Arabidopsis thaliana: one gene and its partners. The protein of the gene in region 2 interacts with the protein of the main gene of each other region in a pairwise test. Each region holds a gene or a part of one and is shown on either strand. Other genes may lie near its edges. The genes, in order: SIP1, CBL1, CIPK9 and CIPK5.

Region 1 (7,602 bases), on a different chromosome or scaffold from region 2:
GCTTGTATGGCGTACATGTTTTTGTAATAACAAAGGGTTTATGAAGTGCAGACCATCAATTTCTTTGGTCTTGGTCCGAAGGTTCGCCTTGTTGATTTGCCAGGCTACGGCTTTGCCTTTGCAAAAGATGAAGTTAAGGAAGCATGGGAAGATCTTGTGAGCATCTACCCCTGGCTAGAGAATGATTATGTCTAAATTGCTTGCCCAGTTTCGTGTATTACTAAACAGGTTAATGTTCCCCATCTGTTTAACTTTGATCAATGCAGGTAAAGGAATATGTCTCGACAAGAACCAGTCTTAAACGGGTATGCCTCCTTGTTGACACCAAATGGGGTATGAAGCCAAGAGACCAGGAACTGATTAATCTGATGGAGAGGTAAAATAATTGATACTGCTCTTAATTTTTTTTTAGGTCATGTAATGAAGTTTCCTTAAAGCCGTAAACTGAATTGCAGATCGAATACAAAGTATCAGATAGTCTTAACCAAGACGGATGTGGTTTTCCCAATTGATGTGGCACGTCGAGCAATGCAAATCGAAGAGGTCTTACTCATTATACTCTAAATGAATATAGTGAAGGCAATGTATAAAAATAATATGTTGGTCATGTTCTTACTAATGTCAACAATTATTTTTCTTTAAAAAATGCAGAAGTTGAAGGCAAACAGATCAATTGTCCAGCCTCTGGTATGTATGAATATGATTCACCTAGTTTGTTGTTTACTTCCCTCTGTGGCTGCAGTAAAAGATGAAACCTAAGAAGCAAGTGGTTAACGTTAAATGATTGCAGATGATGGTGAGCTCAAGATCAGGAGCAGGTATAGGAAGTTTAAGAACTGCCCTTGCTAAAATTGCTAGGTTTGCAAAGTTTTAGGTTCTCAAAGCAATCCTCAAAACCAAGGTCAGGATTGTCTCTTACCCCTTTCCATAGTATGTAATAATGATCAATCAAGATTCAGATTCTTATAAAGAATTATTTGGCTCGTCTTTTCTTTATGGCAAAATAAAGGATAAGGAAGAAGTCAAAATGTTGAGATAAAGAAGAATGGTGTGACGATGATGATCCGACTAAGTTAGTGAAAACTGTCAACAATCACTTATGTTTTTGTTTGTTTATTATCTTTTTATTTGTCAAAGCCATCACTTGAGCAAATGAGCATAAAATGTTTTTCTCACGTTCTGACAGATTAGGTTTGCCCAAACCACTAACTTTTTTATTTTTTATTTTAGTCAACAAAAAATTATAGTAGGCCAAATTATTCTGTCAGAATATAATTTGTTAACCAGAAAGAAAGAAAAAAAAAAGTGAACTTCAAATATAAAATAGGACATATAAGGTTATTAGGTATATGAAATTGAAAATTCGAGGTGACTTTAGGGAATGGCCTACCTAATTTGACACTTCTTCAACAACTCCACCCTTTGAATTTTTCTCTTCTTTACCTTTTTTTTTTTTTTTTTTTTTTTGTTATTTACCCTTTTTTTTCCCTCCTCATCTCTCTCTCTTCTTCTTCATCAGCTCCTCTATCTCTCTCTTTCCTGATTGTCTTCATCAAAAACTGGAAAAAGCAAATCAAGAAAAGAGAAGAAGAAGCAGATGTGTCCGTTAAGGCTTATCCTCATATTCCTTTCAGCGACTCTCGCTGGCTTCTTCGTCCTCCAGAAGCTCAACTCTACCTCTGACGATCCTCTCGATGATTCCTTCACCGACGCTGAACACGCCGACGACGATTCAGTCTCTGGATTCTCCAAGGTTTCTTCTTTTTCCTCCGATCTTCATTCTCTCTCTGTAATTTGGGGATTAATGGGTTTTTCTGATTTTATGGGCTCAGGTGGGAATGGCAATGAAGTCTGGATTTTGGACATGCGTTGACATGGCAAGTGGTCGCTATCTCTGGAACAATCTCTGTTCAAATGCCAAACGCTCTTCTTGAGTTTTGTTACTCTCTATCTGTCTCTCTATTGTCTGTAACTGTTTAATTGAACTGCAATCGACGGCACCAAATTTACATATTGTCTCTGTACTATATACTATAGATCTTGTCTTCACTACTAAATCTCAATAAAGTCGAAGCCTTTATCCCAGTTTCAAAGAGAGTGGAGGATATGGCTTAGATTCTTGTTCTTCCTGTAATGCTGTAGAGTAAGCAATTGAAGTTCTCAATTCAAAAGTCTTGCCATTGAGAATTTCTTTAAACGACTTCTTTATATTATGATGGATTCCTTTTTTCCACAAATTAAAAATGTAAGAAACTCATATACGATTAACATCAGTGATTCAGTGTTAAGCAAAATTCCAAAAACTTGACAAGAACAAATTTCAAAACTTCAATGGTTCTTCCTGTTCTTGTTGTTCTTGTTGTTGTTGTTGTTGGTATTCTGTCTCTTGCTGTGAAGTAAGCTCATCTTTCTCACCCTGCCAAACCCATACAATATCTGACAGAGCAGGTCTAAGATCCTCTGCTACTAATTTCTGATACTCGAGAGTATCTCCATTTGATTTCTTCACTTCCACTAAATGAAAGTTTGGCGTCACTTGAAATATTTCTGCATCCATCGACAGAATCCCTTTTCTTCCTTCTTTTAATCGTTCCAATTTGAACAAACCTGCTTCTCGCTTTCTTATGCTCAGTTTCAATCGCTGTGCTACTTCCTCCAGCTTAGATATGATCACTGAAGCAGGTTTCTGTGATGTGAATCTAGATTCTCTCTTGTTATCATCTCCAAACAGTCCTGCCAGATCAAACCCAGCAGACAAGGCAATTAAATCAAAAGCGTTCAAATTTGTAGGTTCGTCTGTATGGTTTTCCTCCGTGACCCTGTCTCCGTTTTCACTTGGACCTGCTCCATTCTCACTTGGACCTGCTCCGTTCTCATTTGTACCTGCAGTACCAGCTTCCACAGAGTTTATCTCTTTGACTCGTTTCTCCATCTTTTTCTGTTTCATATGTAAACCTTTTCTGAACCAAGAACTCTCCCTGATTCTTGCGATGGTGATTCTAGTTTCAGGGTTAGGGTCTAGCATCTTACACAACAGCCTCCGTACTTCTGGAGCAAACCAGCTTGGTGCCTTAAAATCTGCTTTTCCTATCTTCCTGTACATCTCCATCAGATTGGAGTCATGGAAAGGTAGATAGCCTGCCAATAGGACAAACAAAACCACACCACAAGACCAAATATCTGCTTTTGTGCCATCATAGCCTTTTCGATTGATCACTTCTGGAGCAACATATGCAGGTGTACCACAAGTAGTGTGGAGGAGGCCATCTTGTCTCTTGCAGTCAGCAAGGGCGCTTAACCCGAAATCAGATACCTTGAGATTCTCATTATCATCTAGCAATAGGTTCTCCGGCTTTATGTCACGATGATACACCTCTCGGCTGTGGCAAAAATCAACTGCGTTGATAAGCTGATAAAAGTATTTCCAAGCAACATCATCTCTCAATTTCCCTTTGGCAACCTTGTTGAAAAGCTCTCCACCTTTACAATACTCCATAACAAAGTAGATCCTCGTTTTTGTTGCCATGACCTCATATAGCTCCACAACGTTAGGGTGTCTAGCAATCCTCATAACAGAGATCTCTCTCTTGATCTGTTCGATAAGCCCAACTTTCATAACCTTTTCCTTATCGATCATCTTGATAGCAACACTCTGGTTAGTAAGAATACTCCTTCCATAATACACCTTGGCAAAAGTACCTTGACCCAATAACCTCCCAACATCATATTTATCAGTCAAAACACTTGGCTTATTTTCCATCTAATCTACAAACTTATAACAGGCTCCAAAAAAAAAAAAACTACTTGATCCAGAGATAGCTCAGAGTTGGAGGTAGCTCATGAGTCATAACCTCATGAGCTCGTGCAGCTAATCCCCTAGTGATAGGAGGACACATCCTCCACCATTTCTGAGTTTCTATGCCGAATATGAATAAACCTCTTAGAAACTTGGTAGAATTGAGCCTGTCAAGTAAAAAAAAAAACAAAGCAATGAGATCTACTTCCAACAACAATCAGTGTATCGATCAAATCTAAACTCAATTATATGTATCGATCACGAGTCAAAACGCAATCATCAATCAAAACACACACACAAATTCTCAAACCACTAAAGCCCTAAACCAGAACCGATCATTCAGGTTATATAATTCTCCCCCATTACCGCATTACCTCTATATTAAAGAGAAAAAGCATAGATCGGCAATCAGAGAACCCTAAATTTCAACATGTAATCAACAATTCGCAAGGAGAAAACAAAACATATATGATCAAGACAATCACCGGTGAGGAAAGAGGATTCTGGGAATGAATCCGAGATCTAGTAGAAAGACGTGTAGATCTCTCTATCCGCCCCTAAAGGCCCCTTCTCTTCCTTATTTCTTTCTGGGTTTACCAACAAAAATGGAGGAGAAGACGGAAGAAGAAGAAGAAGAAGAGATGAAAACGAAGTTAAACGTCATTGGCGGTCCACGCACATCAAAAATAAAAATAATTTTTTAATTGAGGCAGAAGAGCAGAGGCCACTTGTTCCTCTGTGTCCTTGTCTACCTTATGACTTTTTACACTTGTCCTCTCATTCGCCTATTCACTTTTCATCCGACGGCTCACATTTTGCCATCATATATTTTTATGATAGTTTGCTCACCATTTTTTTTTTTAATGATATTTTATCTACTAATATTTGAAAAATCGTAGCATAGAGTTTATAACAAATCATCTACTCAACTAAATTTAAAAGTTTTATTTCTTTCAATCAGCCAAAGTAAGAAGAGAAAAAAAAAAAAAAAAAAATAAGAAGAGAATATAGACAGTAATTTATAATGGAAAACTGCATAGTCACAAACTTTTACGTGTTTATTGTTTTTTATATAATGAAGATGTATTTTAACAGTTGACGAAGAAGGGGAATGCACATGAAAAAACAGTTGACGAAGAGGTGATTATTGAGCTCAATGGGCTTGGGATAATATAAAAGAGAATCATTCAGTTGGGCCTCCGACAGTTTTGGCGGATCTGACCATTGGATCCGGTGAGGGGGCTGATGTCTCCCATCTTAATCATTGCCCTTGCAAAGTCGCGGTAGAAGGCATTGAGATTGTGGCTGTAAGCTATGACGAGCGAGTCGGTAGGACCATTATTAAAGAGGACTTGGTCTGACGTAAGCAAACCTTTTTTGCTCAGAAGTTGCTTGTAGAAGCCGTGGTCGAACCTATCGGGAGAGCGGACGTCAAGATTGGCTTTCTTGTTGTCTCCGGAGCCACTGGTGGCAGGACAGTTCCTCCGTTTAGAGATGGCGAAAGAGGTGTCGATATTGCTTGCGTTGTAGATTCGGTTTCTGAATGTAACACATTGGGCTCGTCCAATGGTGTGAGCACCAGAGAGGGCGACCATGTCACGTGTGGACAAACCTTGTGCTTTGAAACGGTTTATGAGGTTGCTAAGGGTAGTGATCGGAGGAGGGATGACTCCGGAGTTCGCGGCCGCGAAGTTCGCCGTCGTAGAGTCTCTTCTTCCAAGTTTCACGCTCCACCCCGGTCCACCTAGCTGTTTAGTCATATTAAGAAGTGTTAAACATTTAGATAAATGTTGGTCGGCTGAAGGGTTTGTAACAAAGGGAAAAACAAAAAACAAAAATTGGTCCGTGTTCATATGCTGTAAAATCGACCAAAATGTAAAAGTATCTTGTTAGGAATTCGTAAAGTAATGGTAGATTTATGCTATTTTGGCTAGATGTATGTGAGAATGATTTAGAAAATCAATGATTTACAAGAAAATCAGAAGGAAAAAGATGCAAGTTGCACTACAATTTTACCCTTCTTTTTAAGTTTTGAAAAGGGACAATTGATTAATTACTAGAAGATTCGAACTCTGGTTCTAGCTAGGTAAAATAAATGAATCCGAATCACTAAGCCACTTAACCATTCAACAATTATTACATGCATCTATGTAAGACATGACAAAGAGTAAAAGGGTAGAGGTGCTAACGAGGAGAACGGAGTCCCGAGCAGTGATGGCTAGAATGTCTGCGCATGAGACGATGCCCGGGCACATTTTCTCAACCTTAAACTTGATTTTGTCGATCACTTCGAACCCCCTCACAGAGTTATTGCTGGGTCCTGAGGTTTTCTCTCCCAAAAAAGACGGTGTGTCATCCAACAGTAAGGATCCGTCACACCCCTATCAAATCATATGCTTAGCATTTACTAAGTTTTAGGAGTAATTCATGGGAACATACAAAGCATGCTTCGTTTTTGCATTGAAAAAAAGTGCCTTACATTGACAAAACAATCATGGAAGAACAAACGAAGGAGAGAAGCACCCATGCGAGGCTCTCTGGCCACGGCCCGTTTCACGACTCGTCTCACGACAAGGAACAATGATGGACAGCTTTCCTTGTAAAAGTCACGGTTCAGCTGAGCCTCGGACTGTGACGCCAACATCATTATCATCATCAACAACACCACCTTTAACATACTTCTCTGCTTATCGTACTCCACTAATTCTCTTTGCTTCTTCTTTTTAAGACAAGATATAGCTATGAGTTATGAGTCGTTGAAGGACTCAGAGACTTGATGAGGGCTTTATAGAGAGGATAACTTACACGTAGGTTATTTTTGTTCACGTAGAAAAGTTTTTCTCGAATATCCACTATATTACTGGGTCCTTACTCCTTAATTACGCCACCTTTACCATATTCATGCATGTTTACATTTCCCTTTTTTCAGCACATTTCCCTTTTTTGTTTTCTACCAAGCATATCTTATTATACAAATTAAAACTCTAATGTTCATTATTCGTCGGGAGTATATACGTTTTAAGGTGAGCATACATTATTAAACTTGATATATCCATAACCATATCAAGATTTGCGATATACTATATAATAAACATATATAGTAATGTACATTATTATTTTAGTTTATGTTATAGATAGATGACAGTAATTATAATTCAAAGTTGTGATAATAAAATAACTAATCAATCCACACATTGGTTTTGATTTGAAAGCAAATGAATCTTTACATGATATTAAAGTAGTAGAATATGTGCCATCTAATTTGAATCCAAAGTGGTTCGATCTAAAGTTTTACATGCTAAATTTGAAGGGTTTCCTATCAAAACCTATTGCTGGTAAGTGGGTTTGATCCATATCCATTGATAAATTACCTTGGTCTCATTCTGTTTTCAGTGTAGGATTTCTAATATGTGTTCTCTTAAGGTGATGGATGGATCAAATTAATTTCGGATCAGATTAACTAGACCGGTTTTTGGGTAAAACCAAATTCATCATGAGCATGTGTTAAGGATATGATATATTGATAAGTTGATGAGACTAAGAATACGAAAGGACTTGTGGAATAATTGTATTGAACTCTTGTAAATATGAAGTTACAAAATGCATTCATTAGCTAGAAATATAACCAATATATTCAAAACTACCTACATCTACAATGTCTGCTAGGACTTTCTACAACGTTGATTGATATATCTCGGTTAGTGATTCTGCTCGATCAATCTCGGTTTTCCATCTGGCAACAGTTTTGTTTGATACAATAATTGTGGACATAGAGGATCTGATTGAAAGAATGTGAGGGCAGATAG
Region 2 (8,086 bases):
AAGTATATGCAATGACTGCTTCCTTACTAAGCTCTCATCAACAACCTGAAAAGAAATGTTTTGTACTCATGGATGACCCTATTGTGGAAATTGGAGAATCTGTAAGAATAGCGGTATTTTTGCCATACCAAGCCTATCTTGATTTCATCCCAAAACTCTTGTTCAGACCTCAAGTCAAATTGAACAGCGTCTTTTTCTGAAACAAAACTTTCAGTTCCGTCAGTCCAAGAGCCAGAAGAAAGACACAAAGACAGAACACTGTAAGCATCCCTTCTCTCTATTGATCCAACCGAGAACAGCTTCTTGCAGCATTCCCAAATTCTTTTTATGAAGCCATTCCTGGAGTTTACAGCTTTAAAAATCATTAAAGAGATCAAAGAAAAAAACTAACCAAAAAGCACATAAATTTTTGGTTCTTAACCTCACCTTGAAAGTATGAACAGATTTCCTTGGTGTGAGATCTTCAAGGATGACTGAGAAGAGAATGCCTTGAAAATAGCAGGGAGGAGGAAACTAACAGCACAAGAACGATGTTCTACACTTTGTGACAAAAGCCGCTCAGTCGTATTACACAAATCCCAAAGCATACCAGCTGCAAAACTTTCCACCTTCGGAGCTGCTTGGTGACTTTGAAAAGCAGCATTCAGAATCAAATTCAGAAGATGGCACGACAATGGAATTGGAAATGATCCAGACAACTGTGCAATGTAGTTTTCATCCATATCTATTGTATTCAAAGAATCACGGAGGCAGAGGTCGCCCCATTTGATGAAATCTGATTCTTCGTGTTGACGCATTCCCATCGAAAAACCAACTGATCTTAGTAAAAATGGCACCAAGCTCACTCCCAACATATCCAATACATTAGTCTCGATCACTACATCAAAGAACGATTCTACAATCTGGTACAATCAAACAAAGAAACCAAAAGAAACAACAAAATGATCAACAATCTCAAGGAGATCAAAACTCTAAGGACTATAGTCAACAGCAGAAATTTCTACCTTATTAAGCATATCCAAATCATATGCACGAACCATCTTCATCAATGGAATAAACACTCTCCACACAAATAGCTGCAACGCATTATGATTATCCGCAGCAACAAAGCCTGCTTCAACCTCATAACCATCAATTAAACAATTCTGTAATCACTAACACATCATACATATCTAAAAATTCAAAATTGGTAACTCACCAAAATTCTTTAGTAGATGACAAAGCCCAGCCACCAATGAAGCTATGTGGTTGCAATCATCAGAATCAAATCTCTTGTCCCCATTTACCGTATCCTATTCAAAAACATGTTCAAATCTTAAATTGAACAATCCGAAGCAAATTGCCGAAGTGTGAAACAATAAACCAATCAATCAATACCTCTAAACGAAAAGGGAATTGCTCAATGAGAGATTCGAAAAGAGTTGAAGGAGATACGCCTGTGGAGCTTAAAACACAGTCAAGGAAAGCAGGAATAGCTGCTGGTGGAACTTGCTTGAAGCTCAGTGACAATGAAGTAATCACTGACGAACCCATTTCAATTGAAGCTTCGAACTTCAAAAAAATTGGCTGCAAGCAGCCAGAATAGATGAAGAAACGTAAACGAATTTGAAATTAGTACAGAGGGAAGTGTTACGAGGAATCTCTCTGTTAAACCCTTTCAAATAATTTTCATGGCTTAGGACAGATAAACCCTAGTCGTATAATTAGGGGGGAAATTAGAATTATTGATAAGGGCTTTCTTGGGCTTAACTTAGTATGATTGGGCCGTATGGGATAGACTTCAGGAGAAGAAAAAAAAAAAAAAACCGGAAATTGTTCGGGGGATTGAACCCGACGTGAATCGAACACGCAACCTTCTGATCTGGAGTCAGACGCGCTACCATTGCGCCACGGATCCGGATGTTATTATGTTGCATTTATAAAATTATAATACCGTAGTATACGCAAATTAAACAAAACATTTTGAGGACGCGTTCCCAACACGGCCGGTGACCAAAGAGTCAATTTAAGCCCGCTTTAAAGATATCAAAATGATATAAAACTCTAATTGATCGAGTTAACGGCAGGAGAATCAAAGCTACTAATCATAATCAAGAAATTTAATATATATACGCTATTATTATTGTTTTGAACGATAAACACGTGGTCTGGTCGTGATTAAGGTCCTAATTATGTCAACGTTTGCCTGCCACATTGCAGACCGAAGTACTAATTCCACACCGACTGGTCTACGACATATTTAATTCATAAACACAATACTTTATAATTAAATTGATTCTTGTAGAGATTTGGCTTCATGATCTGATTTATTTAGTTAATAACCATTTCAACAGATAATTACAGTTTAGAGCCTTTTTCCAGTTGTCAAGAGTGTTATGGTTTTAAAATGGCACCCTGTAAATATCACATATGTTAGTGGATTTATTTTACCAAAGAAACAAAAAATGTTAATGGATTAAAAAACTTGTGTTTTTTTAGATAGCAAAACCAAAAGAAGATATGGTGACCACTAACACGATCAGTCGAAGACAAATGTTTCCCAGACTTTATTATTGGCGTTTCCATTTTGCATATTAGTCAAATTATGGAGCATCGCAAATATCTAATAAACTAACTATATAAAAAGTTATTATAATACAGGGTTACCAATTCCGTATATTCAGAATATTCCTAAGAGGTGCCATTTTGACTAATAAAATGGACGGATCTTTGATTTATTCCGGAAGTGAATGGATATTAGAAGAAACAAAAGAAATTTTGAATTTCTTGTCCAAAAAATATTTTTCCCATTCTTAGTATACAGAAACATAGAAAATATCGTGTATGCTTACGTAACAATCAAGTTGTAAAAAGAAAAAAAGACAGAAGATAAATAGTACAGAATGAACATAACAGAAATCAATCTATGGAATTAGGTACAATTAGGTTCGGTCTAACTGAAATTACATGACGACAGAAAAAACTGAACTAAACGCCGATTCTATTAACTTCCAAAACTGACTCGTCTCACACGCGCTTACTATGATTCACACGTGCGAATATGCCATCATATAAGCGCTACTAAAATTCATTCCAAAGGAAAAAGAAAAATAAATAATCGATCTCAACCGTCCGATCATCCATCTTGCCATCACCGTTCACCAATCTTCTTCGTCTCCTCTCTCTTTCTCTCTTTTTGCTGTTTCTAGCTCCTCTCTCTCTGGATCTCGCCGGCGAACCGTTTCTCTTGGGTGGTGAGTGTTGCTTCTTATTTTTAAGAATCTTTTTCTTTTATTTCCATCGAATTTCGTTTTTTTGAGTTTGATTTTTGGCCTGTGGAATTCTCGATGTTTCTACATTGATCGTCTGGTTTCGAATCGTGTTTTACTGGTACAATTTTGATTCCATCTCCGTATCTTATGGATTCGAAGAACTTTGTGTTTTTTTTTTCTTTCTTCATTGATGCTACTTTGCTAGGGTTTACACTTTTTTCTTCCATGGTAAAAAAATTTGAGCAAAGTTGTTGAGATTCTTCTAGACTGTTTTCAATTTTACGTTTCACAAAGATTTTTTTAGATGATTTGTTTCTAATGAAATGGCATTGTTTGTGTTCTGTTTCCATATGTGTAGATTTTGAAAATATGTTTGTGATGATTGTGCAGTAAACAGTAGCAATCAAGCTATAGAATCTCAGATATCGCTGAATTAGCTGTTGGATTTTATCCGCCTTTTCTTCGTTATCCGGGGCTCGGGTATAAGGTTTCATCGTCTTATTTCATCTGTAAATGGGCTGCTTCCACTCAAAGGCAGCAAAAGAATTTCGAGGACACGAAGACCCTGTTAAGCTTGCCTCTGAGACAGCTTGTAAGTTTACTCGCGCTATAAGTTTAAACCTCCTCTAGATTCATTTCTCTCAAAGCTGCATGTTCATTTGTTTTCTGATATGAGATGAGAATCATCAGTTAGATTCAAATCATTCTTTCTCTGTTCACTGATTTAGTTTATCTCCGGTTTGGATTTTTTTAGTTTTGTGTTTTGGAGTCTTTGTCTGCCTAACAATTTCTAGTAATGATCCTTCAAAGTTGGTTAACACTCTATCTCATGTTTCTTGTTACCAATACCATCACCTTAATCTTGTTCCTTAACTTGTCAAGACGAGTTCTCTCTCCATGCAAATTCTAAATGTGAATTATTAGTCTCTTTGTTTGTTTGTTTGTTTGTTCCTGGTAATTCTTTGTTTTGATCTCGTAGTGTTGCTTGTTTTTTTCTCTTTTCCAGTTAGTGTGAGTGAGGTTGAAGCATTATTTGAGCTATTCAAGAGCATAAGCAGTTCGGTTGTTGATGATGGTCTGATTAACAAGGTACAAAGTTTGTTTCTTTTGACCCAATTTGGATCTTTTCATGACCCCATCGTTGTATCTTTTTGTTCTTTACGCTATTCATCTACAGTATTTTTCAACTTAGTTGACTTTATTTGAGCAATAATTATTCTTCCATGACGATATGTCTGTTCCATATTGCATCGATTCAATGTATCGTAGCCCTTAATGTTTGACTTGAACTTAACTTATTTTATTGATTGCTTTGATTTTGAATTTTGAAGCCTTCATGGCCCACCTTGTTTATGTTGTTTTTTAATCCTGGCTTCACATGTATGCAGGAGGAGTTTCAACTTGCTTTGTTCAAAAGCCGGAAGAGGGAGAATATATTTGCTAATAGGGTAAAATCTTAATTCTTCAGGCTTTTACAAGATTCATCTTCTGGAAGAGTGATCTAAACCAAGATAATATGTCCATTATCCTAAACAATATTGCTTTTCCGCAGATATTTGATATGTTTGATGTTAAACGAAAAGGAGTCATCGATTTCGGGGACTTTGTAAGATCACTCAATGTTTTCCACCCCAATGCTTCTCTAGAAGACAAAATAGATTGTAAGTTGACATAAGATAGTTTCATATATAGGTGTTTATTGAAGCTTTTGTGAAGAGATTTATTGATTCTGGTCTGCCATTTTTTCTCAGTTACGTTTAGGCTTTACGACATGGACTGCACGGGTTACATTGAACGACAAGAGGTAATACTAACTTGCAAGCTTTGAATACTAGTCATGATAGATCTTTGCCATGTTCTTGAGTATTCATCTTTTACTTAATAACTTTGCAAGAAATCGTTAATGAATGTGATATATTTGCAGGTCAAGCAAATGTTGATCGCGCTTCTCTGCGAATCTGAAATGAAACTGGCTGATGAAACCATAGAGATAATACTCGATAAGGTTTGTTGTTGTCTAAGGCTTTATTTTTCTAGATGGTATACATTTAGAGATGATGTTCTTAATGTGGTTTCCTTCGTCCTTCTCATATATGAACAGACATTTGAAGATGCAGACGTGAATCAAGATGGAAAAATTGATAAATTAGAGTGGAGTGATTTCGTAAACAAAAATCCATCATTGCTTAAGATCATGACTCTTCCATATCTCAGGTATATTACAAATTGCCTTTTATGGAAACCAAAGAAAACTGAAAAATGCCAAATGAAATGTCATATTAACTTGTACATAAACAATGCAGGGATATTACGACAACGTTTCCGAGTTTTGTCTTCCATTCGGAGGTCGATGAGATTGCCACATGAAGAAACAAACTGGTTTAAGACCGAGTAGATTGCCACGAGTTGGAAGAACAAGTCTGAGCTAATCGGTGTAATCAACATCTGTTTGTAAACAGTAGTAGAGCATATTCTCTTGAAATTGTTTGGGTTACTTTTTTCTTCTCACAACAGTTTAAAATTTTGGGTTTTTAGCTTACAAAAAAAAAAAAAGAAGAAGCGCGTAATCACCAATCCTTCACTTCATATAGTTAGGAAATGTTAATGAGTTTGTACATATTACATCATACGTTTGTTGTAATTGTTTTTTTTCAAGTAAAAAAGTAAAGATTTGTTACGTTTACTCGGGGTTCTAATTGTTCCAATGGAATCTTATACTGCAAAAACGTGAATTTGAGATTTTGTTGGGTCCTTAACCGCAAAAGCGAAAGTACGAATGTCCTAGGACCCGACCCGATGAAATTTACAGTCTTGCCACTCTTCTCTTGTTACAGTGTTCCTCTCTTCTCTCTCGATTTCGAAGTTTCCAGCAATTTAGGGTTCTTTCTCGATTGGAGAATTCGTATGTTGTTATCATGTTCTCGTCATTGTTGTGCTTTCTTTGTTAAATTCTAGATTTGGAATCGAAATTCTAGACTAATGTTTAGGAAACGGAACTTAGTTCTAGAATCATTTCGTCGATTCGATAGCGGTAACGTAGAAACCCTAATTTCATGGGTCTTGTGTAGTCGCACCTCAAAGCCGTCTCTGTTCTGTACTAGTGTTAAACCTGCTAGATTAAACTGGGAAGTTTCTTCTCAAGTAATTCTCAAGAAGAAGCTAGAAACAGCTCTTAAAGATCACCGTGTAGATGATGCTTGGGACGTGTTTAAAGATTTCAAACGCCTCTATGGATTTCCAGAGAGTGTAATCATGAACAGATTTGTTACTGTGTTGTCTTACTCGTCTGATGCTGGTTGGCTTTGTAAGGCTAGTGATCTTACTCGTTTGGCTTTGAAGCAAAATCCAGGTATGTTAAGTGGCGATGTGTTAACAAAGTTGTCGTTGTCTCTAGCGAGAGCTCAGATGGTTGAATCTGCTTGTAGTATCCTTCGAATAATGCTGGAGAAGGGATATGTTCTAACCTCAGATGTATTGAGGCTTGTTGTGATGCATATGGTGAAAACAGAGATTGGGACTTGCTTAGCTTCGAATTATTTGGTTCAGGTTTGTGATCGTTTTGTGGAGTTCAATGTGGGGAAAAGAAATAGCAGCCCCGGGAATGTTGTGAAGCCTGATACGGTCTTGTTTAATCTTGTACTTGGTTCTTGTGTGAGATTTGGTTTCTCTCTCAAAGGCCAAGAACTTATCGAGCTAATGGCAAAAGTTGATGTCGTTGCGGATGCGTACTCGATTGTGATCATGTCTTGTATTTATGAAATGAATGGTATGCGGGATGAGTTGAGGAAGTTCAAGGAGCATATTGGTCAGGTACCCCCTCAACTTCTTGGTCACTATCAGCATTTTTTTGATAATTTGTTAAGCCTGGAGTTCAAATTTGATGATATCGGTTCTGCGGGTCGGCTTGCCTTAGATATGTGCAAGAGTAAGGTCTTGGTTTCAGTTGAGAATCTTGGATTTGATTCTGAAAAGCCTCGGGTTTTGCCTGTTGGGTCACACCATATCAGATCTGGGTTAAAGATCCATATTTCACCCAAGCTTTTGCAGAGAGATTCATCTCTCGGAGTGGATACTGAAGCAACATTTGTTAATTATTCCAATTCCAAGCTTGGTATCACAAACAAGACTCTTGCCAAGTTAGTATATGGGTACAAGAGACATGATAATCTCCCTGAGCTATCAAAGCTTTTGTTTTCGCTGGGTGGATCCAGGTTATGTGCTGATGTCATTGATGCTTGTGTTGCTATTGGTTGGTTAGAAGCTGCTCATGATATTCTTGACGACATGAATTCTGCTGGCTATCCCATGGAATTGGCCACATATAGGATGGTCTTGTCAGGTTATTACAAGAGCAAGATGTTGAGGAATGCAGAAGTTCTTCTGAAACAAATGACGAAAGCCGGCCTAATTACAGATCCATCAAATGAAATTGTGGTTTCACCAGAAACTGAAGAGAAAGACAGTGAAAACACAGAGCTCAGGGATCTCTTGGTTCAGGAAATCAATGCAGGAAAACAAATGAAAGCTCCAAGTATGCTCTATGAGCTAAACTCGTCCCTCTACTACTTCTGCAAAGCTAAAATGCAAGGAGATGCCTTAATAACCTACCGGAAAATCCCCAAGATGAAAATCCCACCAACTGTCCAAAGCTTTTGGATCTTGATCGACATGTACTCATCTCTTGGCATGTACCGGGAGATCACAATCGTGTGGGGAGATATCAAGAGGAACATTGCAAGCAAAAACTTAAAGACAACACAAGATCTGTTAGAGAAGCTTGTGGTGAACTTTCTCAGAGGCGGGTATTTTGAGAGAGTAATGGAGCTTATCAGTTA
Region 3 (8,487 bases), on a different chromosome or scaffold from region 2:
GGTACTATGGACAGTCAACGAAGAGAAGATGTTGAGGGTAAAACCACCACACTTTTTTCTTGAAATACACTTTTAGCTTAAACTTATAGTATATGTTTATTTTGGATAGGAGGGAGTGGAGAAATTTTCTGATACAATCAACAAAAACATGCCTTGGAAGAAGATTTTGGAGATGGGAAAAGGTATATTCCACACAACTCGTAATTCCTCCGATCTTAAGGACAAATGGAGAAATATGGTGCGTATGTGATTCCTTTCACCATAAAATCCTTAGAAGTATTAAATGACGCATTTGATATCAAAAACATTAAGACAAATCCTAGTGACCTTTTGAATTGGCAGTATAGTAGTGTGACGACTTTGATGTTAGTCCTTCCTTGTAATCGCAGTTTCGGATTCCTCCGTGTAGATCTTTTGGTAACAGTAGTCCTTATAGATGATGTTCGCTTTGTATCCCTTATGTTGATATTAAGAGAAGATAACGTGTCTTTTGTAGTAGCCGTCCCACTCTGTTAGTCTTTTGTTTTGTACCCTTCTTTAAACAAAACAGAGGATTGAGAAAAAGAGAATCATATGGGAATTATGGATATAATTTTGAAGAACTTAAAAATAGGTTAATCTTTTAAGACTATGGGGAGATAACTTGTCGCACAAGTACCAAATGTTTCGGAAACAAAGGTGAAAAAATCTACAAACTTAACAATAAAACCACAAGTCTTCCATTTGTACGGAGGTTAATAATAATTAATACCAAATAAACGACAACACTTGAAGTAGTCAAAACTTTTATAGAATTATCTTGATTTGGTTGAGGTCGAGATTGACATCATCATCGTCGTCGCAGAGATCGGAGATCAAAATGGAGAGGGAAAGAAACGCAGGAGTGATGAAGAAGATGAGTCCAACAGGAACCATCCAAAGATTAGAATTTGTGGGATGGTATTTGTAAAGCCAATAACTTAGAAACAATCCTCCACATATATTCACAATCATCGAATACAAGAACACCATTGACGACGTACTCTTCTTCTCCTTCCTTGTCCTCTTCTTCATATTCGTGTTCATGCTGCTTTCGTGGTTCATTTGCAAGAGGATCTAAACAAGTTATGATTCGCCTTTTTATTAATTAATTTACTGGGAGTTAGGTGAAGTGAAAGAAAAGATGGATGACAATAATAGATTCTATATTGTTAGAGTGTATGAGTAAGTAAGTATATATGCAGTCGGGTTCCGGTTCGTGTAGGTCGGTTTAGAAAGTATATTTCAATTAAACTCGGTTTTTAGTCGTTTTTCTAACGAAATGTGTTTGGTTTTTAGAGATTATTTATGAGCAAAACTGAGTTTGTGTTTGGGTTTTAGATAGGGTACCTAAAACTCGATTAAACATTTAGACCAGTTTCCAGCTGGTCCGACTCCGATTTAGGTTGGTCAATGTATGAAAGGCAAATCTAAACATAAGACACATTTTATGTTATGTATTACTAAATTACTACAAAAAAAACTCCTACAACTCCAAAATACACAATGGTTTAGATTTAGATATACATGTTTTTAGAACTAAAATTATTGAGGTATTTTATAATAGTACTCCAAGTTATAATTTCTGTTACGAGGCGAGAATAAACGTGGGAGAGGAAGGAAAAAAAGGTGCCGTGCGGTGCAACTAGATTTTACATATTTGTACACATATTTCACGATTGAATCTTTCAAGACATTATATGCTTTATCAAATTTTATATATATAACAATTAGATAAGAAACACAATCTGACCCGACTCTACTATTTATAATTATACGTATGAATCTCTAACTTCGTTACTAAAACGGCAAATACTAAACCCTGAAAGGAAACTGTGTGAGAAACAGTTAGGCCCCTTGACCATCTTTGTTCAACGTTGTCAACGAAAAAAAAATGGAACCATAAAGGATAATTAATTGTATCACAAAAAGACAAACACAAATTATTGAATATACCATCACTTATCAGTATATAATTTTATACAAATGCTTTAAATAACAAATATTATGTAGAAAAAGAGAAAAGAAACTTAACTTGGTCAATTTGATCATTTGTGTAAACGATGATGCGGAACATATGCGATAATAATGTTATTGGATGGCAAAAAAAAAAAAAAGTATTTTAGTTGGGCCCTAATGTTAATTCACAATCAAGCCTAAATTTGGTTAATGGGCCAATCTTTCTTATATATGTAGGACTCGGATGTTCGGTCTACTCGAACTATCTACAAACCAAGCTAAACCGAAAGTAAATACAAAATCAAACCAAATAATAGTTTGGTTTATATAGGTTTTAAATTTTAATCCATATAATCCAATAAGTTCCAACTCATAACCAGGAAAATAAAAAAAATGTGGAATGAAGAAGTTCAAATTGATAACCAAATGAATTGCTTTCATATGATGGTGACGTGATGTTTTTGTACCGGACTCAATTATTGGAACGAGTGGTTCATTGTGCATTATTTGCATTTTCTTTTGTTCGTAATATACTAACATATCTAAAAAATTATTGTATCATTATTACTAGTCATGCAATAAATCATCAACTCACACTGTCTGCCACACTTTTTTAATTTTTCTGCGTATTTTGGCATTATCATATGAAAGAAAATAAGAGAAACAAATAAAGGAAAGAAGAAAAATAAAAACATTATCACATTCTGTGAAATCTCTGAGTTTATCAGGAAGGATATGTGGGGTTCATATTCATACCGTTCCCTTTACTCACATCGTCACATGGAAAGATCAACTATTTCAATTATCTATTTATTTATTATCATATACTTTAAATAATCAAATTTAGAACCGTTACAAACAAAAATAAACAGCTACATCAAATTTAAACAAAAGTAAGTATATGCGAATATTATCATAGATTTAAACAAAATTTGACCAAGATATAACAATCATCATTTAACTACCAACATTTGATATATGTATTTATTGTTCTTAGGTAGTTTCCAACTTCTAACTAAAGACAAAAAAAAAAGTTATATTTAGAGAATATTTCTACATGAAAAGAATACAACTATATCAAATAATATGATAACAGTCAACTTTGAACATCAGTAGAATGGAATGAATCACTGAAAGATATACTCATATACACATAAAGATTAAGGACATCAAATCACATCCCTTACAAATAAAACCATATCCACATAAATTTAAAACCCCAAAATTTTCATAAAATCCATATACTTAAACAGGAGTTTCTGTATATAGTTACCACACAAGAACAAAATTATGGAATTTTTTTATATGAATGAAGAATGAACGTTACGAACGTACACAAGTACAAATAACACGGGACTGACGCGGAACAGAGCAAAATAATGATTTTTGACATTACGTGGCATACGGGACCCACAATACGCGCGTGACTCCCAGTCGCGCCTATTAAATCTCTCGCTCGTCCACTTTCTCTCGTCAGCCTTAAAACCAGGCAGCCACTAGAAGAAGGAGAGATATTGAGGGAGAAGAATCACATTGATAGATTCGCCGCCGATCTAGAGCCGTTGATTTTCTTAATCGGAAAAAGAAAATGAGTGGAAGCAGAAGGAAGGCGACGCCGGCGAGTAGGACGCGAGTAGGGAATTACGAGATGGGACGAACTCTCGGAGAAGGAAGCTTCGCTAAGGTGAAATACGCCAAGAACACCGTCACCGGAGATCAAGCCGCTATCAAAATCCTCGACCGAGAAAAGGTCTTCCGTCACAAAATGGTCGAACAGGTTCGTTAATTGTGTTTGGTTTGATCACGTAAAATGATTATGGATTTGTTTGTTTTTAAGTACTATAAAGAACAGTTTAATTTCGTGATTAGGGACCCACATGTCCTCCTAGGTTGGTGTTCGGTTATTAAGGTTAATGTTTGATTAAAGTGTTAACAATAATATTTTAAAATATCGAATTTTGTATGAATGTTTTTGTTTCTGTATATATCTACACGATGCTGATCTTAGTACGCATTGATCAAGATAACTATTAACTATGATATGGATATGGTTTTGAAGTTCGAGTAGCTTTGTTTTTGATTTGGTTCGATTTGAATCTGTTGAAGATTTAGTTTTGTATGCTATATATGTATGATTGGAAGTTATGAGCAAGATCTCGAAGATATAATGATCATAAAGTTTTATTTTTTTGTTGTTGTGCAGCTTAAAAGAGAAATATCTACAATGAAACTGATTAAACATCCAAATGTGGTTGAAATCATTGAGGTACGAAACTAATTAGTTATCATTCCTTAGATATTTTTTAAATTAAGTTTTGAATCTTAGCGTGTAAAACATCTCTCTGTGGTAGGTTATGGCGAGCAAAACGAAGATCTATATCGTTCTTGAGCTTGTCAATGGAGGTGAACTCTTTGATAAAATCGTAAGTAACCTAACTTAGAGAATCTTCCTCTCTTTTCTCTTCACAAATATTGACATATGTTCTCTGTCTTTCTCTCTTCTTACTCTTATGTTAATTCTTGGATTTAAATCATATACATAGGCGCAACAAGGGAGGCTTAAGGAGGATGAAGCTCGGAGATATTTTCAGCAGCTCATCAATGCTGTGGATTACTGCCACAGTCGAGGTGTCTACCACAGAGATCTCAAGGTCTTTCTTTTGTTTTTGTGCACTCTTCTTGTTTCCTGTGATTACGATATTCATTCTTCTTAGTTCTTATTCAAGTTTCTTTTGTTATCATCTGTTCCTTGTTGCAGCCTGAAAATCTGATCCTTGACGCAAATGGGGTTTTGAAAGTCTCTGATTTTGGGTTAAGCGCCTTCTCACGACAAGTTCGGGTAATGCCATTATATTTTTCACTTGGCAATTAATTTCTGATATATATAACCAAGATATCAATTTGAATGAAGTGTTCTAAGCATTGTTCTTTTGAATGCAGGAAGATGGTTTGCTTCATACAGCTTGTGGAACGCCAAACTACGTTGCCCCTGAGGTATTATGTACTAACTTTCAGCACTTAAAAAGGCAAAGAATATGAAATGTTCTGTAGATCCTCTTTGGAAAATAAGATTTTAAGGAATTCAAGAACTGCTAATACGTTTTTAAAAAGGAAGGAAATCTAACAAATGCTATACGTATATATAGACTTCATTTGCAGAATCTTCTTTATTTATGATGTATATAAGAGATATGCCTTTAATGTTGTCTACTGCATTGTGTTGGATTTGCTGGCAGGTTTTGTCGGACAAAGGCTATGACGGTGCAGCAGCAGATGTCTGGTCTTGTGGTGTCATTCTCTTTGTGCTTATGGCTGGTTACTTGCCTTTTGATGAGCCGAATCTCATGACATTATACAAACGTGTACGTGTAAATTATCTCTCCCTCTGCTTCTTGATCTTCTGCAGTACTTTTCTAGTCTCATCTTTGGTGTTTAATATATACTTTAGATATGCAAGGCTGAGTTTAGCTGCCCACCATGGTTCTCGCAAGGTGCCAAGAGAGTCATCAAGCGTATTCTCGAACCCAACCCTATTACCGTAAGTGCCTCTTACATGAAGTAATAGTTGTGAAAATGTGAACATGACATGCTGCCAACCATAGATTGTGCAAGAGCTTAAGTATGTACTTATTTCTGAAATGCAGAGAATAAGTATTGCAGAGTTGCTCGAAGATGAATGGTTCAAGAAAGGGTACAAGCCGCCATCATTTGACCAAGATGACGAGGACATAACCATAGATGATGTTGATGCTGCTTTTAGTAACTCCAAGGTAAACACCGCCATTTCCAAATTCTCCATCTGGTTGTGTATATCATAGTTCGGTTTAAGTAAACCAATGTATTGTTACCAACTAATATCACTCTTTTTGTGCTGCTACTCTAGGAATGTCTTGTAACTGAGAAGAAGGAGAAACCTGTATCCATGAACGCTTTCGAACTTATCTCTAGCTCAAGCGAGTTCAGTCTTGAAAACTTGTTCGAGAAGCAAGCGGTAAGAACTTTTTTCTACTTACAGTTTGTCTTGATTTTCTAAAATCATGCATAGGTTTTATCTAACTAAATCTGATTTGTTGTTGTTTGCAGCAACTTGTGAAGAAAGAAACGCGGTTTACTTCTCAACGATCTGCGAGTGAAATAATGTCGAAAATGGAAGAAACCGCAAAGCCATTAGGCTTTAATGTCCGTAAAGACAACTACAAGGTCTGTTCTTCTTCTTCTTCTTCTTCTTGATTTTGTTTGTGTCAACTAATGTCTTTGTAGCTTCGTTAAACATTGTTTAAGTAAACTTCGCAGATAAAAATGAAAGGAGACAAAAGTGGTCGTAAAGGTCAGCTCTCCGTAGCTACAGAGGTAAGAAAGAAAAAAATACTCCGGTTCAGTTCGGTTTTTGGATTTTGATGAATATCGTTATCTAATTGTTATGGTTTGGTAATCGGTTTAATAGGTGTTTGAAGTGGCGCCATCATTGCATGTGGTAGAGCTTAGGAAAACCGGTGGTGATACCCTCGAGTTTCACAAGGTATGTGATTCGGTTTGATCTTCATCAAAAACCGGTTCGGTTTTGATCCGGTTAACATCTCTAGTTTAGTGTTTAAATTGGTTTTATGTTTGAATCTCTTTTGCAGTTCTACAAAAACTTCTCATCTGGATTAAAGGATGTAGTCTGGAATACTGATGCAGCCGCTGAAGAACAAAAGCAATAAGAAATAACAAGTTGTTCAATTCAAAGTTTTTAATCAATGTTGAACATGTATAATGAATAGTAAACATTCTGGAGTTGGCAATATACAAGTATTGCTGACAAAAGAGCCAAACTAGAACTAGAAGTGGTCTATAGAGGTAGATCACCATAGGTTAGTCAATAGCCACATATGTGATCATCCTCAAACTCGGTTTGAAACCTATAAATCAAAGTTCAAACAATTCAATTAGGCAAAAAATACTCTGCAAGCTGGCTATTTGAGTATAGTTGAAAGTTGCAACGATGTTGTCGCTTTATGGCAACGCGTTACAATGACACAACATATATAACAATTTGGAAAACACAATGATAGAATTATTAAAGAGAGGTTATCTTAGCTACATAGATCTACGTTTGCAACCAAAAAAAAAAAGTTTTATTTTGATGTACAGTCACACATTGATGACGGAGTGGTTTCTAGTGAGGAGTTGGTGTTGAGCAGACCAACGTTAATTGCCCAATAAGTTGTGTGAGTTGTCTAATCTTTCAAATCAAACAGCCCGTAAAGCCCATAAAGTCGCAAATTTCGCATTCCAAAGTTTTTAAGAATGGAGAAACGTTCAGATTCAGAGAGTGTAGAGATTTTGGGTGATTGGGATTCACCTCCTCCGGAAGAAAGAATCGTAATGGTTTCTGTTCCCACTTCACCAGAATCTGATTACGCGAGATCGAATCAACCGAAAGAGATCGAATCTAGGGTTTCAGACAAGGAAACAGCGTCGGCATCCGGAGAAGTGGCTGCGAGGAGGGTGTTGCCGCCGTGGATGGATCCGTCGTATGAATGGGGTGGTGGCAAATGGAAAGTAGACGGAAGAAAGAACAAGAACAAGAAAGAGAAAGAGAAAGAGAAAGAAGAGATTATTCCTTTTAAAGAAATAATTGAAGCTCTCCTTGGAAACTCCGGTGACAAGGTTCAACAAGACAACAAGGTTAATCAAAGTCAGAGCTCTGTTGAGATGTTGAAATCAATGGGCTTTAAGTTTCCTTAATTTGTGGTAATCTTTTGGGGCTTTTCTTGGTTTTAGTTTTTTTGTTTTGTTGTTGCAGAAAGTAGTAGACTAGTAGTAGGTATGCTTTTTCCTCATTATTGAAATTCTGTTTTAATCTGATAATGAAACTAAGAAATCCAAGATTTGCAAGATAAACTTTTGAACGTGAATATATGTCACTAGTGTTTTGGCCAACTCACGGCTTAAATCTCTGAGTAAGATTCTTCGGAGAGAAAAAAAAAAAAAGAATTTTGTAGGTTTAGTGTGAGATATTGTTGGATACAGTAAAAGCTATTGACGTTAGTTTTCGTTTAAGCTGTTTTTTTTTTGTTATGACTTATGATACAACTACAAATTTGAGTCCATACTAGTGTTATATGATAGCGTGTTTTGTTAATATCCTCGATAAAAATGTTATCTGAAAATACAATGTGAGAACGGAACCATTCTTCTTAGAATTATTTCTAAATTTAAGCAAAATAAAGTAATACAGTATTTCTGAAATGCAGAGTATAAGTATTGCAGAGTTACTAGAAGATGAATGGCTTCAATATCAGTAAACACATGTTGTGTTTCTACACTTTCTCTCTATCTCTGTCTTTGTTTCACTCTGTTTTGTTTTTGTTTAGAGACAAACACAAGAACTCGTTTTTACTCTTTAATAAAAGACTACATTCATGATATTGATGATTTCTTACAACACAACACATACATGTACTACTTCTCCTAGTTCTAGGCACTCTTACACAACCCTCCTACTTGTATTGGAACTCTAACAAC
Region 4 (7,126 bases), on a different chromosome or scaffold from region 2:
CAGGCCAGTTTTCTTGGTCAGAGAGGTAAGTTTCTTGGGGTTGCAACTTTCATGTTATCTGAGTGCAATTTTCCATTCTAGTAGAAAAAGCGGTTTATAAAATTTGAAATTCAATACGGTATCGACTTTCTGTGAACATTTTATTACCAAATTTCAGGTGAATATATTGCAAGTGGAAGCGATGACGGTCGGTGGTTTATATGGGAGAAACAGACTGGAAGGCTTATGAAAGTGCTCGTTGGCGATGAATCAGGTGATCTTTTTTCCTTTCACATTTTATCCATTACATAAGTATCTTTTTTTTTCATTGAATTTCGAGTTGGCTAAAAGAATCATCTTTCGTCTCTAGTTTTGAACTGCATTCAATGCCATCCGTTTGATAGTGTTGTAGCAACGAGTGGAATTGATAACACAATAAAGGTAAGCAGGCACACAAAGCTGTCTTCAGGGTTTGGTTTTCATTTCGTGTAAGATCTCTAAAACTAACATTTGCATGTAAAAATATGTGTACAGATATGGAGCCCAACCGCATCAGTCCCATCAATTGTAGCAGGAGGATCAGCTGGACCAGCAACCGCCAATGTAGTGGAAGTAATGGAGAGTAATCAACAGAAGCTAAGCCGCAATCGAGAGAATCCTCTGTAAGTTTTCTGGGATAGGTGGTTTGAGTTAATATAAAAGCTCCAAGGCGGTTTCAGAGTACACAAAATGGGTTTGATGATTTGGTACATTGATGATTCATTTGCAGGTCTGTGGAGCTAATGCAAAGGTTTAGGATGCAAGAATTTGCAGAAGGAAACTTTCACCCATTTGAATGTACTCAGAGCTAAAGCAGGAGGGAACTGTAGAGGTATAATAAGCTTGCTTTGTGAAGGTGATGGTGGAATAACAATGGTTTTGAATATGAATAATGAATAATAAGGTTTGATTAGGTTTCATATGTAGCAAAAGCTTTCTCTCTGTAAAACTCATGCATAGCTTCCTTCTAAAAGCTTTTTTTGTTGTTGTTGTTGTTGTTGTACAGTTTGATATTGGCTTCTTCTTTTGAATGTGAATATTCATCGTTATTTTACATTGTTTTTTCATTTCTGTCGCGTTTAGTAGACAGCATAAGGCTGTATGTGTTATGTGTCCAATCTCGTTATTTTAATATAGACTTGTGGAGGAAGCTCTAACCACTTTGCTGCTTTAATTAATCTTGTCTAGTGTAAACTTTTTTACCTATTTATATATTGCTGCTGGGGGCACTTGCCTCCACAAGCCATAACGTGGGTCTGCCCCTGACTTTAGTATGTATTTGGACAAGGTATGCTTCTATTTGGACTAATCCCGCATACGTGTTTTTTTGTATACAATTATTAGTTATATTTTTATGGTGTTATTAATGGTTAGTAAAGTAGTCTAATTCCTGATCAGTAGACTAGATCCTAAAACATTCCTTGGTGGAACACAATAGATCTCCCTACTTTGAAGATAGTGACATGACATCCCTAAATAACGATTAGCTAGCCGTGCATTAAGTTTTGGCTAATAATCTTTTATCTTTTGATGATAAAAATGGAATTGAGCTATATGATTTAGAAACAAATTAATATTGTAAATGATTTTGAATTTTTGTTTTTAAAAAAAAATGGATATGTTAATTAGAATTTTCATGGTCTACTCACCAGAAACTTGATTTGTATGCTAGTTTATGAAATGATTTTAAAATAATTTAAATTTTTTATACGAAAGGTTGGGTGGAACCACCACATAAGATAAGGGGGACAAAAAGCATTAGACCGTTGGAGAGAATTATTGACATTATTTTAAGGAAGTTCTGTCAATAATTGATTACCTATTCCTTTTTCTCCGACGATATTTATTCGTGAAAAAGTAAAATTTAATAGAATTATAGAAAATCATAGCATTCAAACAGCATAATCTTATTTGATGATAACATAATCTAAAGTTTAGGTTATGTTATTTACACATACTGTGTTATATTTACCTATTTAAATTGCCTATTTCCTTTGACGTTGATTATTATTTTGACACTGTTTTATTTTCTTCTAGAAATTGGTGTATTGTAAAATAATAGAAAATTTTAAGTGTTACGTTATACAAAAATGATTTAACATTATAAGGTAATAGAGAATATTAAAAAAAAAAAAAACATACATATGACCCCCAAAGTCTTAGAAATAATTGTTAGCATCTAGTTTTGTCCAAGTAATTAACAAATTAAGAAAGGAAAAAACACAAGAGACATTGTTCTGAATGTTGTTCTTAAGAATAAAATCTAGCAAACAATATGCCGTGTGTAGAAATATAGAAGGTTATACAAAATTCTTTATGTACAACACTATAACAAAACAAAAACAAAATCTAGTACCCATAATTTTTTTAACTGCAAACAATATGTTTTAAATGATGACCATTTTTTTTTTTTTTTTTTTTTTGTAAAAAAAACTTATTTTCCATATAAAAAACAAATTCCAAAGAAAAAGTAAAGTTATTGCAGTGTGACATGTGTGACTTTGTGAGTGGCTTATCACCTTGTCTATAAATTCAAAGAGTGTTCAGTATATAATAAGAGGACACCACGTAGCTGCGTTTGTGATTCATTTGCACACTTCTTCTTCTTCTTCCTCATTTCTCTTCCTCTCCCATATTCCATGGAATTGCTCTACTTCTTCACCTATGAGAGTAATATATCCTCATGTACTCAAAATACTAATCAAACTTCATGCTTCAACACCACCTTTTCTTAATCCTCCTTCTTCATCTTCTTCTTCCACTATTTCATTTTCCCTAGTCGGTGTAAATATCAAATGGAGGAAGAACGGCGAGTTCTGTTCGGAAAGTACGAGATGGGAAGGTTATTAGGCAAAGGAACCTTCGCCAAAGTCTATTACGGCAAAGAGATCATCGGCGGCGAGTGCGTCGCAATCAAAGTCATCAACAAGGATCAAGTAATGAAGAGACCTGGAATGATGGAACAAATCAAACGCGAGATTTCAATCATGAAGCTCGTTCGTCATCCCAACATAGTTGAATTGAAAGAAGTCATGGCTACGAAGACCAAGATCTTCTTCGTCATGGAGTTCGTTAAAGGCGGCGAGCTTTTCTGCAAAATCTCTAAAGGTAAGTTACACGAAGACGCTGCTCGTAGATATTTCCAGCAATTGATCTCAGCCGTTGATTATTGCCATAGTAGAGGCGTTTCTCATCGCGATCTGAAACCTGAGAATCTTCTTTTAGATGAGAATGGAGATTTGAAAATCTCCGATTTCGGATTATCTGCGTTACCGGAACAGATTCTTCAAGACGGATTGCTTCATACGCAGTGTGGAACTCCGGCGTATGTTGCGCCGGAGGTATTAAAGAAGAAAGGATACGACGGCGCGAAAGCTGATATCTGGTCGTGCGGCGTCGTTTTGTATGTTCTTCTCGCCGGATGTTTGCCGTTTCAAGATGAGAATCTGATGAATATGTATCGGAAGATTTTCAGAGCGGATTTTGAATTTCCGCCGTGGTTTTCTCCGGAAGCGAGGAGGTTGATTTCGAAACTCCTCGTTGTAGATCCAGATCGACGGATCTCGATTCCGGCGATTATGAGAACGCCTTGGCTCCGGAAAAACTTCACTCCGCCGTTAGCTTTCAAAATCGACGAACCGATTTGTTCTCAAAGCAGCAAAAACAACGAAGAAGAAGAAGAAGACGGAGATTGTGAAAATCAAACAGAGCCGATATCGCCGAAATTCTTCAACGCTTTCGAATTCATATCCTCGATGTCTTCCGGATTTGACTTATCGAGCTTGTTCGAGAGCAAGAGGAAAGTGCAATCGGTGTTTACGTCACGGTCGTCGGCGACGGAGGTAATGGAGAAGATAGAAACGGTTACGAAGGAGATGAACATGAAAGTGAAGAGAACGAAGGATTTTAAAGTGAAGATGGAAGGGAAAACGGAAGGGAGAAAAGGACGGTTGTCGATGACGGCGGAAGTGTTTGAAGTAGCGCCGGAGATATCGGTGGTGGAGTTTTGCAAATCGGCGGGAGATACTTTGGAGTACGATAGGTTATACGAAGAAGAAGTACGGCCGGCGTTAAACGACATCGTCTGGTCATGGCACGGTGATAATAATAACACTTCTTCCGAGGATTGTTGAATCAGTAGTTTTTGGTTCTGATTTAACCGGTTATCGGTTAACGTAGTATAACTAAGAACTGTTACATTGAACCCAAATTTTCTTTGGTTTAATAAAATTTTGGTTTTACTTCTTTTTCTTTGGTAAGGATTTTGATTTTGCTTCTAATTGAACCTAATTGTGTTGTTTTTAGGTACAAATGAATAAATAATTTGGGTTCAGATTAAATTAATCGACAATTAAGGGTATGTTAAGTCGAAAACGAAAATGACTATGAGTCGGGTTGTGGTTTAGAAGACCGACACGTGTGGTTTCTCAGAGACTTCGAAAAGATTCACCTTCTGTTATGAAGTCAAATCATTTGAATTTTGAAGTTCAAATAGTTAGTGGAGAGGACAAAGTCACAACAAATTAATTTATTTATGGGATCCGACGACTTTTTTTCATTAGTTTTCTTCTACATGTCCAACTTTGAATTGTAGCTGGGCATGATCGTAAGATAGAAGATTAGATGTGATTGATGGGATGAAGATAATGCTAATCTGAATTTTCTGCATAAATGAGTATGTTTATGTGTATTCAGTCTATCAAAATTACCCATTTCATACCATATGTTTACTATCATATTTTGTAATTTTTTTAGAAGCATAATAATGTAATAACCTAAAGAACAAAAAATATCGACTACATCATGCAAGAAGTTTCGAAGAAACCCAATCCTGTAAGAATTAATGGCGTATAAGTTATACTAAGTGAAAGAAAAATCCCCCAAAAAGTTAAAATGGATACAGACAAAAACAAGGATTAAAAGATAACAAGAGTAATGAGGTTCACCAGTAAACTCAATCCATTAAGAAAGAAATGGAGCTTTCACCATAATTAATATCCGACCAATAATCTAAAAAAAGGATCAATCAGTGGCTAACATGGGATTTTAGGACAAGGGTTGTGTCACAGTCAGAAAGTGACTCCACCAACATCAAATGGATAGTATTAAATCGAGTGTTTTTTGTTAAGATTAGATTTAACTATTTTAGGAGAAGAGAAACACCAATGAGGTTATTACTGGTACGTATTTGTGTCACTTTATGTTTGGTCATAATAAAATGGAGGATGACATTTTGTTTGGAACATAAAAAGGATATTGTAAGTTGTAACAGATGTTGCACCTCCTAAGGAAGAGGGTGTGTCATGTCATGTGTGGTCCTCCCCCATGTTCAAAAAAAATCACATCCAAATGCAATCCACTAGTTTTTGTTGTTGTATTTCTGAACAATAATTGGGTTTGAAAAAGAAGAAAACAAAAATTCAAAAAACTCAAATGAAAATTGAAGTCTGCATTGACAAAGTATTCTTGAAATTTAAAGACATGTTCAAATCACAACCTAACTCCAATGCACTTCCCTTGATCCAACTTCTTAAGCTTTGGGCAAATATCCACAAGTTTGGAGTTAATCTTCTTCTCATTGTAGAATATAAAAAGATTGATATTGTAGAGAGCATTGAAATGAGAAGAATACCAAACTCTTCCACATTATCTCGATTTCAAATATTACAAAACTTATTTTGTTTGTGGGTCTTCTCAAACCGCTGCAACATGTTGCTTGAAATCTTCCTGGTATTAACGACAAAAATCCTCAATAAATATGAAAATTACACAAACGTCATCAAATCTTTTGCTAATGGTTTGGTCCGGATCAGGTGGAAGTAATGTTGAGCTTGTTGACCCAGTAGCCAAGTTGCTCAGCAACACAGTTTGATCCTGTTGACCCATAGGAACTGAACTTATTGACTGAATTTTCAACCCCCAAAAATCCAAACACATCTTCTTCAAACACAGGGCTCAGCTTTTTCATCTCTTCAAGACTTAAGTTCTGAAGTTCACAGCCTTTTGAGACGCAAACTCCAACTAGTTTTCCAACTATGTCATGAGATGACCTAAAAGGCATCCCCTGGGAAATCAAAAAACCAAAACAGTATTTATCTTTCTGACTTCAGTTACAAAAATGGAAGATATGATAAATAAAAACCACATTACCTTCTTCACAAGATAATCAGCGAGAGTAGTCGCATCAAGATGTCCTGCGGGAAGACTTTTCTTGATTCTGTCTTCGTTGAATGTAACATTCTGAGCAAATTCTGCAGATACATCGATCATTCCCATTATTGTCTTGGTACTATCGAACATCGGCTCTTTGTCTTCTTGAAAATCTCTGTTGTAAGCAAGGGGAAGTCCTTTGCACAGTGTTAAGACAGTGACCAGATCGCCTATGACTCTTGCGGATTTTCCTCTGACAAGTTCCATTGGGTCTGGATTTTTCTTCTGTGGCATTATACTACTTCCGGTTGACACAGAATCACTTGGAGTCATGAACCCAAACTCCTCGGAAGCCCACAGTACCCACTCTTCTCCAAGCCGTGATAAATGAATACCGGTGTTGGCATTTGTATATAAGAACTCCAGCACGAAGTCTCGGTCTGAGACTGCATCGATACTAGTTGAAACAGAGGAGAAAAGAGTTAATAAATGAGAAACCATAAAACAAAAGAGAAAGACATATAATTAGAGAGAGTTGATGCAACCAATATAAGAACTAGGAACATACCTGTTTCTCATTGGTTCGGTAAATCCAAGAGCATTTGCAGTCATAAACCTATCAATAGGCAGACCAGTTCCAGCCAAAGCACAAGCTCCCAGGGGGGAGAAATTTAGCCTTGCTCGACAGTCCACATAACGACCAGCATCACGTTCGAGCTGCCATACATGAACCAAAATACCAGCTAAGAAAGTAAAATCCTAAGTAAATGTAAGAACCCTACAATGTTCTGAGGCAGGAAAAGGAGGACATAGTATCTAAAAGATGAACCTCATAAAGCAAATTAGAGTGCTGCTCAATTTTATAACATAACCAGAAACTAAACAAAACGATGTAACAGAAAACCAAAAATTAAACAAAGTAGAAATTCCAAACCTGCTCTACAAAAGTTAAGAGAAC

Evidence for each region.
Region 1: the proteins of CBL1 (region 2) and SIP1 interact in binary tests that used the Arabidopsis thaliana proteins (3 or more experiments, as listed by UniProt).
Region 3: the proteins of CBL1 (region 2) and CIPK9 interact in a two-hybrid assay, tested with the Arabidopsis thaliana proteins (3 studies listed by BioGRID).
Region 4: the proteins of CBL1 (region 2) and CIPK5 interact in binary tests that used the Arabidopsis thaliana proteins (3 or more experiments, as listed by UniProt).

What each region holds. Positions count from the first base shown.
Region 1 is NC_003076.8:23,594,772-23,602,373, forward strand, and holds SIP1 (SOS3-interacting protein 1), read right to left. Parts: upstream 4,583-7,602; 5' UTR 4,282-4,582; intron 3,964-4,281; 5' UTR 3,761-3,963; coding exon 2,321-3,760; 3' UTR 2,191-2,320; downstream 1-2,190. Other genes in the region: AT5G58370 (P-loop containing nucleoside triphosphate hydrolases superfamily protein), read left to right, coding at 52-156, 267-376, 456-543, 652-687, 791-874; AT5G58375 (Methyltransferase-related protein), read left to right, coding at 1,598-1,753, 1,833-1,934; AT5G58390 (Peroxidase superfamily protein), read right to left, coding at 4,984-5,544, 5,986-6,177, 6,276-6,473. UniProt on the Arabidopsis thaliana protein: CIPK serine-threonine protein kinases interact with CBL proteins. Binding of a CBL protein to the regulatory NAF domain of CIPK protein lead to the activation of the kinase in a calcium-dependent manner.
Region 2 is NC_003075.7:9,813,378-9,821,463, forward strand, and holds CBL1 (calcineurin B-like protein 1), read left to right. Parts: upstream 1-2,976; 5' UTR 2,977-3,233; exon of another isoform or gene 3,234-3,369; intron 3,370-3,609; exon of another isoform or gene 3,610-3,641; 5' UTR 3,642-3,764; coding exon 3,765-3,843; intron 3,844-4,257; coding exon 4,258-4,340; exon of another isoform or gene 4,341-4,603; coding exon of another isoform or gene 4,604-4,639; coding exon 4,640-4,699; intron 4,700-4,803; coding exon 4,804-4,912; intron 4,913-5,002; coding exon 5,003-5,055; intron 5,056-5,175; coding exon 5,176-5,256; intron 5,257-5,352; coding exon 5,353-5,646; 3' UTR 5,647-5,976; downstream 5,977-8,086. Other genes in the region: AT4G17610 (tRNA/rRNA methyltransferase (SpoU) family protein), read right to left, coding at 1-45, 129-339, 427-902, 1,005-1,111, 1,199-1,292, 1,378-1,533; AT4G17616 (Pentatricopeptide repeat (PPR) superfamily protein), read left to right, coding at 6,231-8,086. UniProt on the Arabidopsis thaliana protein: Acts as a calcium sensor involved in the signaling pathway during growth and development and in response to abiotic stresses. May function as a positive regulator of salt and drought responses and as a negative regulator of cold response.
Region 3 is NC_003070.9:62,591-71,077, reverse strand, and holds CIPK9 (CBL-interacting protein kinase 9), read left to right. Parts: upstream 1-3,452; 5' UTR 3,453-3,565; coding exon 3,566-3,754; intron 3,755-4,180; coding exon 4,181-4,243; intron 4,244-4,328; coding exon 4,329-4,400; intron 4,401-4,520; coding exon 4,521-4,628; intron 4,629-4,735; coding exon 4,736-4,816; intron 4,817-4,917; coding exon 4,918-4,971; intron 4,972-5,213; coding exon 5,214-5,339; coding exon of another isoform or gene 5,340-5,345; intron 5,346-5,425; coding exon 5,426-5,515; intron 5,516-5,621; coding exon 5,622-5,747; intron 5,748-5,860; coding exon 5,861-5,968; intron 5,969-6,060; coding exon 6,061-6,177; intron 6,178-6,270; coding exon 6,271-6,327; intron 6,328-6,421; coding exon 6,422-6,508; intron 6,509-6,602; coding exon 6,603-6,680; 3' UTR 6,681-6,911; downstream 6,912-8,487. Other genes in the region: AT1G01150 (Homeodomain-like protein with RING/FYVE/PHD-type zinc finger domain-containing protein), read left to right, coding at 1-37, 110-238, 793-963; AT1G01130 (CBL-interacting Serine/Threonine-kinase), read left to right, coding at 7,267-7,521. UniProt on the Arabidopsis thaliana protein: CIPK serine-threonine protein kinases interact with CBL proteins. Binding of a CBL protein to the regulatory NAF domain of CIPK protein lead to the activation of the kinase in a calcium-dependent manner. Involved in K(+) homeostasis under low-K(+) stress.
Region 4 is NC_003076.8:3,442,594-3,449,719, reverse strand, and holds CIPK5 (CBL-interacting protein kinase 5), read left to right. Parts: upstream 1-2,441; 5' UTR 2,442-2,813; coding exon 2,814-4,151; 3' UTR 4,152-4,691; downstream 4,692-7,126. Other genes in the region: ASG2 (transducin family protein / WD-40 repeat family protein), read left to right, coding at 1-25, 158-253, 350-420, 514-641, 749-830; AT5G10920 (L-Aspartase-like family protein), read right to left, coding at 5,828-6,082, 6,169-6,625, 6,737-6,885, 7,103-7,126. UniProt on the Arabidopsis thaliana protein: CIPK serine-threonine protein kinases interact with CBL proteins. Binding of a CBL protein to the regulatory NAF domain of CIPK protein lead to the activation of the kinase in a calcium-dependent manner.